Callithrix jacchus: one gene and its partner. The protein of the gene in region 1 interacts with the protein of each later gene in a pairwise test. Links are inferred from orthologs where the notes say so. Each region holds a gene or a part of one and is shown on either strand. Other genes may lie near its edges.

Region 1 (7,395 bases):
CAAGAACTTTCACATGCAGACATTAGCTGAGAGGCTGAGAAACCTACTGAAGGAGAATGTAAAACCTCAATTGGCAGCCCAGGCCATTGAGGCCTGGCGAGATGCCTTTACTTCACGAGGATGTCAGGGCTAAGACTAGAACCCTGGCTACTGGGAAACCATCAACTGCTCTGGGCAAGCCCAGCCATCCTTGTGGCTTTCATTTTCATCCATCTGCCAATGACACCCTAGCTTGTACATCTATGGCCCAGAGGCCTTGGGCCAGGGCTATCTGATGCCTTTGAAAAGTCAGTAGGGGATAGAGGAACAGAGAGTGGCTTTTGGTGCCAGACCTGCCTGGCCTCAAGTCATACTTCTAGGTTTCCAGTTCAAGATGAAATATTTCACAAGCTGCCTATTTAACACACACCACATGCCAGGGACCACGCCATCCTCTAAGTCCTTACCAATACAAGTGATTGATTCCTCAGCACGACTCTGTGAAATGATATCATTATCATTCCATTTTGAAAGTACGGGAAAATGAAACACAGAGAGATTAATTAACTTGTCCAAGACACACAGCTAGTAAGTAGCAGAGCAGTAATTTGAACCCAGGACATTTTAGTCCAGAGGTTATGCTCTTAACCATTACAATATGATGTCTCTTATATGTAACACTCCTTCCTGTTAAGGCTACAGTAAGTGCCAGTGAAGACACTAAGACAACATGAGAGGCCTTAGCCAATGAAAGAATTCCATAAAATTGTGGAGTCCAGGAAGTGTCCATGGAGAAACCAGGCCTCAGTGTGGATGGGAAGCAGATAGGGCTCAGCTGACAAGGGGAGCCCAGCCAGCAGCATCCAGAGAGGAACTAGACCTGCAAGGACAATGGCAGCATATCATAAGAAAGGAGGGAAGGGCAGAAAACAGGGACTTTAAGTAAAGATCTGTGTATGAAGCAGCCAGGCACTTACCCCATGCCAAAACCTGAACCAAATGAATAAGAAAGCTGGGGTGAAAGTGACACAAAATAAAACCCTCTTCATTCTGGCGGGGTTCAGGGTGCCTCACATGACAGTCAGTTCCTTACCCACTCATCCTGCTGAAGTAGAACCTGCCCTTTGAGAGGCCTGACCGAGGCATGAAGAGTCCTGGGTTAGCCCTTCCATTTGCCTCATTCTTCCAAAAAAATAGACAACGGAGGCTCACCGGTCACTGAGAAAGATCTGCAGCCCTTCTCTGTTTTGAAGTCACGACATCAAACTGAAGGTGGATCAATTTCTGTGTAAAGGGTTTTCATAGGAATTTTACCACTACACTCCGTCTGTTGCAATAACGCAAAATTAATCTTCCTCCAGAGGAGCACACAGATATTGATGGAACGTTTTTATGAATAGTAGTTCACCATCACAATATTTCATTTTCTTAAGATATTTCAAAAATAGCATGAAAAAATATAATGGGTATTAGGGAGACCCCATGACTATAATCGCTTGACTTTCCTATAAATTGGAATCAGAAGGATAAAAAAATATATTTGAGAGATTCGAAGGCAAAAAATAAAAATAGAAATGGCTGGATTTTGTTTGTTTGTTTCTCTCTGTTAATCATTTCCAAAAATGTTACTTTTACTTCCATGTAACTTTAAAGGCACACTACTTTTTCCGAGTCATCAGGAAAGCATTTTTAACTTTTCTCGCCTTTGCATATTATGGTTCTCGTAGAGGCAGTTCCATCAGCTGTTTTATTCAAAAATAAAGGAATAAATAAATAAATAAATTAGATTTCCTAATTCTAAATTTCTAAATTGAATTTCTAAATTCAGTATAAGGGTATATTTTCAGGCAGTCTGCCTCTAGCCCTCATAACCAGCTTTAATTAAACCAGAGGTGATATTCTCCCTAGTCTCGGAGCCTGACCTCCTGGGCAGCTTGATTTGGCTTCTGTCTTTGGACACAGGAAGCCAGATCAACATCTGACCTATTTTTATTCCCAGGAAATCTTTAAACCTGGAAGCCTTTTTTCTCAATCTTCCCTGGGGCCATCCAACAAATCATTTCAGCAATCAAGTCTCCCTCCCTTTCCCAGTAACTTCCAAACTTTTCTGTGGTAACAGTAAAAACCACCATTTTCTAAAATTTTATTAATTTTTCCTCACCAACCTGAATGTGGTGAAAAGCATTGGCTACAGAAAGATGGGATTTGTGATTCCCTAAAGCAGTCAGGTCTCCCTTCTCTCCAAAATAAATGCCTTTTTCAGTATCCTTTGCGACAATGTGGCCAGCATCTTTCTAGAACATTCAACATCCACAGTGAATGTAGCTTAAAGAATTGGCCACAGAACCGTGGGACTCACATTATTTCCTGGAGCAGTCAGTCCTCCCTCCCTCTCCAATCCTGTTGCCTTTTCCCAGCAGCCTTTGCAACAGCATATCAATTTTTCTAAAACTTTCCCTTACCCACAGTGAATGTAGCTAGCTAAAAGGATTGGCTACAGAACTGTGGAACTCACCTAATTCTCCAGAAGAGTCAGAATTCCCTCTCCCTCCAAAATGACTGTTTTTCTCAATATCATTTGCAGCAGTATAGCCACTATTTGTTCTAGAATATTTCTTCACCCATATTGAATGTAGCTTAAAAGCATTGGCTACAAAATTGTCAGATTCACTTCACTGGATTTCTTCCTTTCTTCCTTGCTTCTTCTCTCTCTCTCTCTCTCCCCCACCCCCTTCTTTCTTTTTACAGAGTCTCTCTCTGTTGCCCAGGCTGGAGTGCAGTAGCATGATTTTGGCTCATTGCAACCTCTGCCTCCTGAGTTCAAGCGATTCTCATGCCTCAGCCTCCTGAGTAGCTGGGATTACAGGCATGTGCCACCATGCCCAGCTAATTTTTTTATTTTTAATAGAGATGGGGGTTTCACCATACTGGCCAGACTGGTCTCGAACTCCTGGCCTCAAGTGATCTGCCCATCTCCTCCTCTCAGAGTGCTGGGATTACAGGCATGAGTCACCATGCCAGGCCACTTGACTGGATTTCTTAACAGCCAGAAAGGATAGGAGCCTCACCTGACTTATTGTGTGTATACACACACGTGTACCACACACATAATTTTAAATACAGGAAAGCATTATTTCACGCAATAGATTTACAAAGTAAAGTATTTATTTACTCCCTAAGCAATATTTGTTTCAAGAATTCCGAACTCCCAAGGTTGAACCTCTAGTATAGGAAAGGATGACCGTGACCTTTAACTGGACCTTCCTTTCCTCATTTGCCAGCTCGGAACACAGGAGCTTTCTCTTCCTCCCAAGTCAATGTCTAGCCCTGACTGACCTGGTGAGGCAAGAGCCCCTACAAACAGTACTCCCAATCCCAACCTGGCCACCTTATGCTGAGGACCCCATACAGTACCATTTTCTTGGGCCGGGTGGCAGTCATATTCCAAACTGGTTTGGCTTCAGCAGAGCCTGCAGCTTTTGATTCCACCTTCTGCCTCTTCTGGGGGACACTGAGGGACCGAGATCTATGATCCATCACTTCTAGAGAGAAGAACAGAGGCCTCAGGAGCACCCACAGAAGTTATACCAGGGCTTTTTGGACACGAAACACAGCATAAAAGAAGGCAGAGGCCACAGCCTTCTCGGGAATCACTCAACACCCGTTCAACACTATCCACCAGCTGATCCCAGGCCTCAGTTTGTTCATTTGTTCAAAAGTTAATCAAGCATTTCCTGATGGCTGAGCTCGAGACTAGGTTACTCTCTATTCACTTAGAAAGCAATGATCAAGAACAAGATTCCAGCTCTCAAAGAACTGACCATCTGTTTGTGTATAAGGGGGAATGACAGGTGTACAGCAGAAAGTAATCTATCCTCGCAAATGCAGACAGAGAGACACAGGCTCCATAAACGATCAAAACATGGTAACATAGTAGAAGGAAAGGGCTCCCTCTAAAAAGTAGGAGACAAAAACTGAAGCAGGGACCTGAAAGAAATAAAGGACCCAGCCCTGGGAAATTGAGGGAAAGCACATTCCAGACAGAAGAAACAGCAAATGCAAGGTCTTTGGGGAATAAGCACGCTTGCAGCATTGTAATAACAAACATAAATGCAGTGTGATCTTGGCCCTTTTGTGAGCTATAGAAATGATATTTTCTGTCTATATCATAGCATGAAATGTTTTGAGGAGGCTGATACTATCTTATAGACTGTGGAGTTTGGACTTTCCTCTGAAGGGCAGGGAAATGAATTAGAGCATTGGGAGAGAGAATTGATCTCTGATCTTGTAATTTGAGCTCTCTGAGTATTTTGCAACAGACATGGTGGTGGCTTGGACAAGTGGGAGACAGTAGGAAAAATGCTCCCTTTTCCCTACCTCCCTTATCATCAACCCACAAATCCTCGAAGCTCCCCAACACACACATGTGCAAACACTTCCTTGCACACATGCACCTTTTCCAACACACACATGCACAGGTATAGACACGTATCTACAGAGTTGGCTATAGCCAAGTGGTATTTTAGAGGATCCTCACCTGCTATCCCCAGGTGCTCTTGGTTTTGCCCTTGGCTTCCATGATTCAGTTCTTCAGCCAGGGATATTTCTACCTCCTCCCTGGTGCTGATAGGGCCTCCTGCCATCATAACCAGCTGTTCACTTGTAAGCAATGGCTAAAAATGTGCAGGGTGCCAGAAACAGAGGAGTCACACTCAGAAAATCGCCTCTTCCAGGGACAGGAGCTCAAGGAAGATATAGTAGGACCTGGGGGTGGAGTGACACTCCCTCTCTAGGCTGAGGCCTTGGACTGAGTACCTTCTGTTCCCATTGTATCTAATTGGTTGGGTCCATGGCGTTCTCCCCTGCAACTCTGTAAGCAGCTTAGAAGAGATACAACTCCAAGCTTTTGCCTGTGAGAACTGCTCTGGCTCATGGATCTCCAGATTTAGCTCATGGGGGATCCCATCATCATTTCTAGGCAGATGCAAGGATTGGCACAGGGTCCAAGAGCCACACAGTGGCCACAGCAGAGTTAGGTCCTAGCAATCCAGGCCATACCATGCCTTCAAAAGGGATTCTCTGGAGAGCATATCCTACCTCCCATATCCAGAGTCCCCAAACACAGGAGGCAGCCTTTTTCTGAAGTCGGTCAGCCTAGGCAGGAGCCATGAGAACCAAAGGAGGGAAGGGTGAAAGAGGTGTGACCTGACTGCAGCCACTAGAACCCCAAGGGCCTCAGGCCCTGCACCTTCTAAGTTCCAATTCTCCCTCAGCTTACCTACTGACTAGACCACTGTGATGGTCAGGTTTATGAGTCACCTGGGCCAGGCACTTGCCCCTGGTGATTCCATCAAACACCGTGTAGGTGTTGCTGATGAGGCAATTTGTAGCTGTGATTGGCATCTACAACCAGTGGACTTGAAATAAAGTAGAGACTCATCCTCGATGATGTGGGTGGGTCTCACGCAATCAACTGAGAGGCCTGAAGAGCAAAGACTGAGGTTTCCAGAGAAGAGGCATTTCAACCCCAAGACTGCAGGGTCAACTCTTGCCTGAGTCTCCTGCCTGCCGGCCTGTCCTGTACATTTCAGACTTGTGAGGCCCACAGTCACATAAGCCAATTTCTTAAAATAAATTTCTCTATATTTGTGCATATGTAGATACATACATACATACATACATACATACATACATACATACATATATCCTATCAGCTCTGTTTCTCTGAAAACCCTGATTGCTACAACCACCAATGCTGAACCCTTCATTTAGGAAACAACCCCAGAGCCCCTGGGGTAATAGGAGGCTATTTGTAAAAGGAATCCTTTATAAACCTGTCCTGGTTCCTTTTCCAAATAGCCTCCTCTTCCCCCAGAGTCCCTGGGCCAAGTGGGAGGAAGAGGTGGAAGAAAGGAGGAAAAGAGGGAGGGAGGAAGGGAGGAAGGGAGATAGGTAGAAAGGGAGGGAGGGAGGGAAACAGAGAAGAAGGGGCCAGGACTAGCTGAGATAGGGCTGCTTGGTCTGAGACTGACTGCCCCCTGCCCCCATCTCACCTGTCCAGTGCTGGGGCCGAGCTCTTGGGAAGCAGAGCTGATGTAGTCCCTGCCTGCATTCCTGGGGGCCCCAAAGAAGCCCTTCTCAGCTCCAGTGGAGCAGCTGCAATGAAATTTGAGCTTTCTGGAGGGCCACCTTGGAAGCAGAGAAACTGTGGAGGGTGCTCAGTTCAGTGGGATTTAGGAGCCTGGGAAGCCCAGTCACGTTTGCCATATTGAGCAAATGAAAGTACAGGTACAAAGTACATTTAAATTTCAGGTAAAAAGCACATCATTTTTAGTGTAAGTATGCTCTCTTGTACACTAACCTTTGGGACATATTTACTCTAAAAAATGATTCTAGGTTGATCTGACATTAAAATGTAGCTGCATATCCTGTAGTCTATCTGACAATTCTATCTCACTATCACCTCCAGGTTTTCCCTTTTGCAAGTCTCTCCTTCTTTGGGTCTCAGTCTCCCCCATGGCCAATGGGGCTAACAATCCCCTCCCTATAGGGTGGCTGGATGGTGAGGAGTACTGAGAAGTCAGCAAAGCTGGCTTGCCACAGGGCCTTGGGCTATGGAGGCCAGATTTCTGTCTAGCTGCCAACTGGCCTTGGTCTGGTGGGGCTTCTTGGGCACAGGGGAACAGAGGCACAGGGCACAGGCTCATGTGGAGGCACTGCCCCCTGGTGGCATAGGAATCCACCACCTAAAGCCAAGCAAAAAGGGTGAGAGACTTTCTTCCCAATCCCTGCATCCCCAATGCCACTCAGAAACCCCAACACCTCACTACCTTAGCATGCCTGCCTTTCTTGGATTGAGTGCCAAGGACAACTTGGAGGTGAGAGAGAGTTTGCTGTGTGCCTTTGAACTTGTCTCTTAGCATGTTAGCTATTTATAATTTCATAATTATAATCTATGTGGTAATCTCCTTTTGACATGGCCCTCAATTCACGCTCCAACCATTCTGAAAAGTCCCCCACCCCACAGTCTGGGTGCTAACCGCAGGGTCCCGCAGGACTAGAGCTCCTGGGATACGGAGGAGACCTTTCAGATATTACATGGTGCCTGGGTCCAGGAAGATGGCACGTGGCCAAGTGCACATGACAGGCTGCAGAGCCCTAACACTCCAGCGGAAGGCTCTGCTCACCCAGAGATTCGACAGATGCTTCTTTATAGGGGAAGGAAGGGTCCAGAAGACATCTGGCTTGTAGGTGTGTCTATATGTTTGCAGTGTGCAGTGTTTTACACAAATGAGATCTAACATCTGAGGTGTGTGCCATTCTGCAACTGTGCCTTGGGGATCTCTCTGTGTCAGAACAAATCTACCTCATTTCTTCTCAATCCAGCAAAGCATTTCCCTACACAGCTGCCTCCCT
Region 2 (7,287 bases), on another chromosome or scaffold:
TTCATTACAATGGCGGATGCTGGATGGCACTTCCCCCTTGGATGGCGCTTCCCCCTAGACTGGGGGGATCTGTGCCTCCTAACGGGGCATTAAGTTAGGCTTATGGGCCCTGCAGCCTGCAAAACTGTCCTCATCCATCCAGAGAAACCCTTTCTTCGGATCTGGAGTGACTTTGGGTCTTGATATATATATACACACATATATATGTGTGTGTGTGTGTATATATATATGTGTGTGTGTGTATAGATATATATGTGTATATATATATATTTTCTTTCTTTCTTTTTTCTTTTTGAGGTGGAGTCTTGCTCTGCTGCCTAGGCTGGAGTGCAGTGGCTCAATCTCGGCTCACTGCAATCTCCGCCTCCTGGGTTCAAGCAATTCTCCTGCCTAGGCCTCCCGAGTAGCTGTGATTACAGACGCCCACCACCACACCTGGCTAATTTTTGTATTTTTAGTAGAGACGGGGTTTCACCATGTGGGTCAGGCTGGTCTTGAACTCCTGACCTCATGATTTGCCCGCCTCAGCCTCCCATAATGCTGGGATCACAGGCATGAGCTCGGCATGTGCTTGGCCCGGGTCTTGATATTTTTTTTTTCGAGACGGAGTTTTGCTCTTGTTATCCAGACTGGAGTGCAACGGCACAATCTCGGCTCACCACAACCTCCGCCTTCTGGGTTCAAGCAATTCTCCTGCCTCAGCCTCCCAAGTAGCTGGAACTACAGGTGCACACCACCATGCCCAGCTAATTTTTGTATTTTTAGTAGAGATGGGGTTTCACCTTGTTGACCAGGATAGTCAACAAGAAAGGAAAAATATATATATATATATATATATATTTATCTCAATCTCTTGACCTCGTGATCCACCCACCTCGGACTCCCAAAGTGCTGGGATTATAGGCGTGAGCCACCACACCCGGCCCCAGGTCTTGATATTATACAAAGACTCACTCAGGCAGTTTTGTGGGTTCCCACCTGGTTTCCCCCATCCTAGGAAGAAGACCAAGCACTCAGGTATACCCTGAAGGTGTCCATACCCAGGTGACACTAAAAAAAACTGATGTTATCTAAAGGAAAGGTGATGTTGGGAAGGGCCTGGAGTTAGGGCGGATTAATTAATGTTCTTGTTGGGGTGTGGTGGGGGGCGCAGTGGTCAACAATCTTTAAGAGAAGGACTAGGTGAGGCACGAGACAGCCCTTTCCTTCCTCATGCACAATTAAGGGAGGAATTTCTTACAGTCTTTCAGCTAGAGTTTTCTAAAACTTTTGGTATGCTTATTAAAGTGGGCTCCCACCAATTTGGCTCCTCAGGTTTTTTTTGTTTTGTTTTGTTTTTTGAGCCAAGGTCTCACTCTCTCGCCCAGCTAGAGTGCAGTGGCATGATCTCAGCTCACTGCAGCCTCCCGGTTCAAGCGATTGTTGCGCCTCAGCCTCCCGAGTAGCTGGGACTACAGGCATGCGCCACCATGCCCTGCTAATTTTTGTATTTTTAGTAGAGACAGCATTTCACCATGTTGGCCAGGCTGGTCTCGAACCCCCGAGCTCAGGTGATCCGCCCGCCTTGGCCTCCCAAAGTGCTGGGATAACAGGCTTGAGCTACTTCGCTCAGCCTCCTTGTGTGTTGATAATAACAACAAAAGCTTGTGCGTCCTGCCCATTTACTAAGTGTCAGGCACTGTTCTCTCCTAGACCAAACTGTAGTTGCACTCCTCTGAGTCCTCCTCTTGACTAGCCCTCGACCTTGAACTTCTGTGTCTTCCTGTCCTTGCTGGGCCTGAGCCTGCATAGACCAGTTTCAGCAAGAGTCCTGCTAAGTTAGGGAGAAATCCCTGATCCTTGATGTCTCCTCTTAGGAATCTTCCATCCCCTGGCTCCCTCACTCTGCTCTTTAACAAATCCAACCTTGGTCCTTGTTGTATTCCGAGTTGAGCCCAAACCCTCACCCCACGGCAATCACCCTACTGCAGGGTCCAGCCCTATAGGGTTCTGTGAGCCTCTCCCAGCTGGTGCGAAGACGATAAACTGTAGAAATAAAAGACACAGAGATAGAGAAAAGAGAGTTTGAGCCCAGGGATCCACTGCTACCCAAATCGCAGAGATCACAAGTGGCCCCGAATGCCGGGACGCTTTCACTTTTATTGAGTTGCAAATCTGGGAGCAGGGTAGGTTGGGCGAGGTCTTGGTGGTCCGAGAGTGGGGGCAGGGTGGATAGGGCGTGGCAGTGATAGGGTCAAGTACGTCACTTGTCGTTCAGGTATGGCTGAGGAATTTCTGGCGCCCGAAGTGAAGTAAGGAGCATACTGCATCAGCGCCTTTTCCATACTTATCAAGAAAGAACTACAATATTAAGATTTATATTACTCTTACTGATTATCTTTTCTAAGAAAAAAGGAAACAGGAGCAGAAGTAGAACATGAGAGTAGCCATGGAACGTGATCACGGAAGCACAGCATCACATAGAAACAGTTAAGCCTCCGGATGTCTGCGGGCCTACCTGACAGCCGTCAGGCCTACCACAAGAGCTTGGAGAAGCGGAGTTTTCTCCAAACTTCCCCAGGAAGGAGACGTCTCAGCCATTTTGGGCATCTCCTTCCCTAGCTGGCTAAACAGCGGGCGCTTTCCCGGCGCTGGCGCTGCCGCACAGTCGCGGCGCCCTCCAGCAGCCCTTATACAGGCGTGATAGAGGGCTTAGAGCATCTTGCCTTAGTGTCATTCATTTCACAAGTCACCCCAGGTTCACACTTCCGACCTGAGAGGCATCAGCAAAAGAATTAAGATCACCTATAAATAACTAAGATCACATATGAATAACTAATAACTACTAGGGTTATATTTCTAGTTGCTTTCTTCTTCATTATTTATACGGAAATAGGCTGAGGCCTTTTGCTCCAGGCTTGGCGCTTATGGGATCTCCCCCCAACACCCCACAGCAAGTCTTCAACAGTACTGGTTTAACAATTGTCCCAATAACGTTTTCTTTAACAACAGTGGTTAGCTCATTTAATCCTCACAAGGATCACCTGAGGTAGGTATCCTAAATAACCCATTTACACAGGGAAGTGGGGAGGAGACAGGGTGCCCCCGGGGATGAGGCACAAGCTGTTTCCACATCAGCACTTCGCGCCTGGACGGTCCCCCAGTTGTCCTGGCTGCAGGTAGTCCCATCAGCCCGCCTCCTGGGATATTTGCCAGGCAGGAAACCTCCTGAGCGACAGAAACTCCAACTTTTGCCAGCGGCCTCCAGGTACTGCCTGGGCAGCGGCGGGAGCCTGGAGCCTGGGGGAAGGCGCTCGCTGCGGACGCCGTCTCCAAGCAACGGGCGGCGGTCACGTGACCCGCCCGAGCCCGCTTCACGTGGTCGCGAGCTGCGCTGGGGTTGGAGTCTCCGCAAAGGGCGGGGCGGGACCGGTGAAGTTTTTTCCCCTGGGGCCCAGGAGCCCCAGCTGCTGCCGCGCAGGTGCCCTCGGCCTGGGTCCGGATGGAGCTGCCTGCAGTGAACCTGAAGGTGGCGACGGGCGGGGCAGGGTCCCCTTTGCGGGAGGGGGTGGGACATTTGCATTTTCCAGGAAGGTGGGAGGACTGAGGGATGGGAGGGAGAAAGGGAAGGTACAGACCCCAGGAGAGAAGGAGGTGGGCAGGCAAGCCACAGCAGGAAGAAGGATCCAGGTACAGGCCAGCAGGGTGATGCAGAGCGGCCGTTGGACGTGGCAGGGCAGGGCTAGGGCTGTCCCCTCCCGGACTGAGACCCTCCAGCGGGCAGGGCCGGTCCCACGTGCTGTGGCCCACACGCCCAGAATTCCCCTGGAGGAGGAGGAGGAAGGCGGGCGGGAGGGGCTTGGAGGCGGCTCACCTCCCCGGCGTGAGTACAGGGGCTGGGCCTGTCCCCGGGTCCCAGCAGCGTCCCGGGAGCCTCCTCCTGTGCTAAATCGGGTTAAGGAAATCACATGTTCCCAAACAATTCGTTTTATAAAGTTTACACATCCAGCGCCCTTACTTCATAATCAAGAAGCACGAACCCCAACAGAAATTACTTAAAAGCAGAAAACCCCAACTTTGTGCACTTGGGAAAACTCTACAGAGCTTCCTGGGGTGTCTTCATTTCCCGAGCCCTGAGCTCAGCCGGGTCTTGGTGCCAGCGGCTGTTCTTTTTCTCCCCGCCCAGCCCCACCGCCCCCGTGTCTGGGCTCTGTTTGCGTTAGTGGGGCTAGGGGCTTTAACTTTGGTCAGGAAGCTGTGGACCTTGAGCCAAACCGGCCATTTTGGGTCTTAGTGCAGCCTCCTTTGAGGCAGTATCCGGGAATGTCCTCTTACTCATGAGTGACAAAGCATTTAGCACCCTGTTGGTGTCTGGGACTAAAGGAACCTGAGAGATAGATGGTTACAAAACAGTGGCTTAATACACGTTTATTATTATACAACATATGTGCTATGACTTGCATTGGACACGTTTCCCTTTTTTTTTTTTTGCGACTGAGTTTCACTGTTGTCGCCCAGGCTGGAGTGCAATGGCGTGATCTCAGCTCACTGCAACCTTCGCCTCCCAGGTTCAAGCGATTCTCCTGCCTCAGCCTCCCAAGTAGCTGGGATTACAGGCGCCCACTACCATGCCCGGCTAATTTTTGTATTTTTAGTAGAGATGGGGTTTCGTCATTTTGGCCAGGCTGGTCTTGAACTCCTGACCTCAGGTGATCCCCCTGCCTCAGCCTCCCACAGTGCTGAGATTACAGGCCTGAGCCACTGTGCCAGCTACATTTCCTTTCTTAATCATACACATGCTTCAGCAAACCTTCCTGAACGTCCAGTCAACAGCGGAGGGGAGAGATGGCTGGAGCAAGGGAATGGGTTTGCATAGAAAGTTCAGCTGGGAAGAAATTTACATGACAGCAACCTAGATTTGTTGGTATCAGTATTCACTCTATCCCAGGCAAGGTGGGGTTAACACCAACTGCCTTTTCTCTGATTAGGGATGTGCTTAAAATAATTGCTAAGAGAGGATCAGGTGAGATCGGTGGGAGAGACAGAGCTCTCATTTATGGGCGTCTGTGTTGTGCCAGGTTATTTATTTAATCAAGGTAACCTTATGAGAAAGCTGATACAGTCATCTTTTTACAGATTAGCAAACTTCAGCTCAGATTGGGTGACTTGCCAAGGTACCGCAGGGAGTAAGTGGCAGTGTCAGTATTTGAACTCACAGGGATCAGACTCCAGGGCCAGGTCCTTTCTGGGGTACCAGCTTACTCAGGGCTGACTTTGACCTCGGCTGTTTGTGTCCTTTGGGAGGGCTTAGTCTCTCTGAGGTTTTTTTTGAACAACTTTTTGGGCCTGACAGGCTGAGCATCCACAGGTATGAGCTATGCTGGCTTTCTGTATCCAGGATGAAAAGGCTGGTCCTTCCCTTGACTTGGCACATAAGACCCCCTGTCTCCAAGGGTCTTGGCCACTACCAGAGACAAGAAAGTGCTGGGAGGCCCTGAGGGATCAGGGTTGCCAGGTCATATATAGAATCTCCTATACATGACCAGGTGAACTTGAATTTCAGATCAACAACAATCAGATTTTTACTTTTATTATTTATTTATTTATTTTTTTGAGACGGAGTTTTGCTCTTGTTACCCAGGCTGGAGTGCAACGGCGCGATCTCAGCTCGCTGAAATCTCCGCCTCCTGGGTTCAGGCAATTCTCCTGCCTCAGCCTCCCGAGTAGCTGGGATTACAGGCACGCGCCACCATGCCCAGCTAATTTTTTTTTTTTTTTTTGTATTTTTAGTAGAGATGGGGTTTCACCATGTTGACCAGGATGGTCTCAATCTCTCGACCTCGTGATCCACCTGCCTCGGCCTCCCAAAGTGCTGGGATTACAGGCTTGAGCCACCATGCATGGCCCCCAATCAGATTTTTAATATGAGTATGTCTCAGGCAATATGTGGGACATATTAACCAATTATTCATGATCTGATGTTGGAAATTAACTGGGTGTTCTGTATTTTTTTTTGAGATGGAGTCTTGCTCTGTCACCCAGGCTAGAGTGCAGGGGTGCGATTTCAGCTCACTACAACCTCTGCCTCCCGGGTTCAAGCGATTCTCCTGCCTCAGCCTCCTGAGTAGCTGGGACTACAGACACACGCCACCATGCTCAGCTAATTTTTGTATTTTTAGTAGAGATCGTATTTCACCATGTTGGTCAGGCTGGTCTCAAATTCCTGACGTCATCATCTGCCCACCTTGGCCTCCCAGAGTGCTGGGATTACAGGTGTAAGCCACACCTTGCCCAGCCTGGTGTTCTGTATTTTTGTTTGCCGAATCTGGCCACACTGTGGAGGGCAGCTGTTGACTCCTTGCTTGCAGGCACTTAGGGGATGTTCTGAGATCAGAGCCCTTCAGGAGCTGGGGCACTGCTCCCCGTGGCCTGCACTCCCTCCCACTCTGTCATGTCATATATTTCTCAGTTAATGGCTGCATGCCTGCTTCTGCCCAGCTCAGCTAGAGTGGGCAGTGGTGCCAGGTGAGAATAAACAGCTGCCCCAGGCCCTTTGCTCAGAGAGCAGCCCCTGACCAAGCCCTGTCCATGCCTCCTGAAGTGAGGTCCTGAGCTGCAGGAATTCAGAGGTCTTGTGAGAAGAGGACCTTGGGAGGAGGATCCGGTGGTCTAGGAGGTAGTTTAGCATTGGGGTTAAGAACTCTGGAATGAGGACTGCTGGGATGGAGGTGACTTCCTGGCAGGCACTGTGTTGAGTGCTTCCCACGCCTCTCCACCTCCCTGTACCACTGGATCCACACAGCACCACTAAACCAGACATTATTACCCTGCTTTACAGAAGAGCAAACAGCTGTTCTGAGAGTCAGGTGATTTGCCCAAGGTCACTAGGTTTTTTGTTTTTGTTTTTTTTTTGAGACAGAATCTTGCCCTGTTGCCCACGTTGGAGTGCAATGGCACGATCTCAGCTCTCTGCAATCTCTGCCTCAGCCTTCTGAGTAACTGGTTACATGCTCATGCTACCATGCCCAGCTAACTTTTTTATCCTCAGTAGAGATGGGGTTTCACCATGTTGGCCAGGCTGATGTCGAACTCCTGACCTCATGTTCCACCTGCCTGGGCCTCCCAAAGTGCTGGGATTACAGGCATGAGCCACTGCGCCCGGCCCAAGGTCAGCAGGTTCTAAAGTCATGGAGCCAGTCAGATCCACCTGTTTGCCTCCAGTACCCATGAAGTTAACTGCTACATGACTCTGCATCCCATCTATGGCAGCCCTGACTGGTGTCCCTGGGCCCCAGCCACCCTGGGGGA

What was found.
Region 2: the proteins of FATE1 (region 1) and AGTRAP interact in binary tests that used the Homo sapiens proteins (3 or more experiments, as listed by UniProt). The two-hybrid records come from large-scale screens. The link is inferred for Callithrix jacchus from reciprocal best matches to the Homo sapiens genes FATE1 and AGTRAP.

What each region holds. Positions count from the first base shown.
Region 1 is NC_133524.1:148,012,092-148,019,486, reverse strand, and holds the start of FATE1 (fetal and adult testis-expressed transcript protein), read right to left. Parts: upstream 4,708-7,395; 5' UTR 4,626-4,707; coding exon 4,517-4,625; intron 3,522-4,516; coding exon 3,394-3,521; intron 1-3,393. UniProt on the Homo sapiens protein: Involved in the regulation of endoplasmic reticulum (ER)-mitochondria coupling. Negatively regulates the ER-mitochondria distance and Ca(2+) transfer from ER to mitochondria possibly implicating it in the regulation of apoptosis.
Region 2 is NC_133508.1:49,615,954-49,623,240, forward strand, and holds the start of AGTRAP (type-1 angiotensin II receptor-associated protein), read left to right. Parts: upstream 1-3,448; 5' UTR 3,449-3,481; coding exon 3,482-3,508; intron 3,509-7,287. UniProt on the Homo sapiens protein: Appears to be a negative regulator of type-1 angiotensin II receptor-mediated signaling by regulating receptor internalization as well as mechanism of receptor desensitization such as phosphorylation.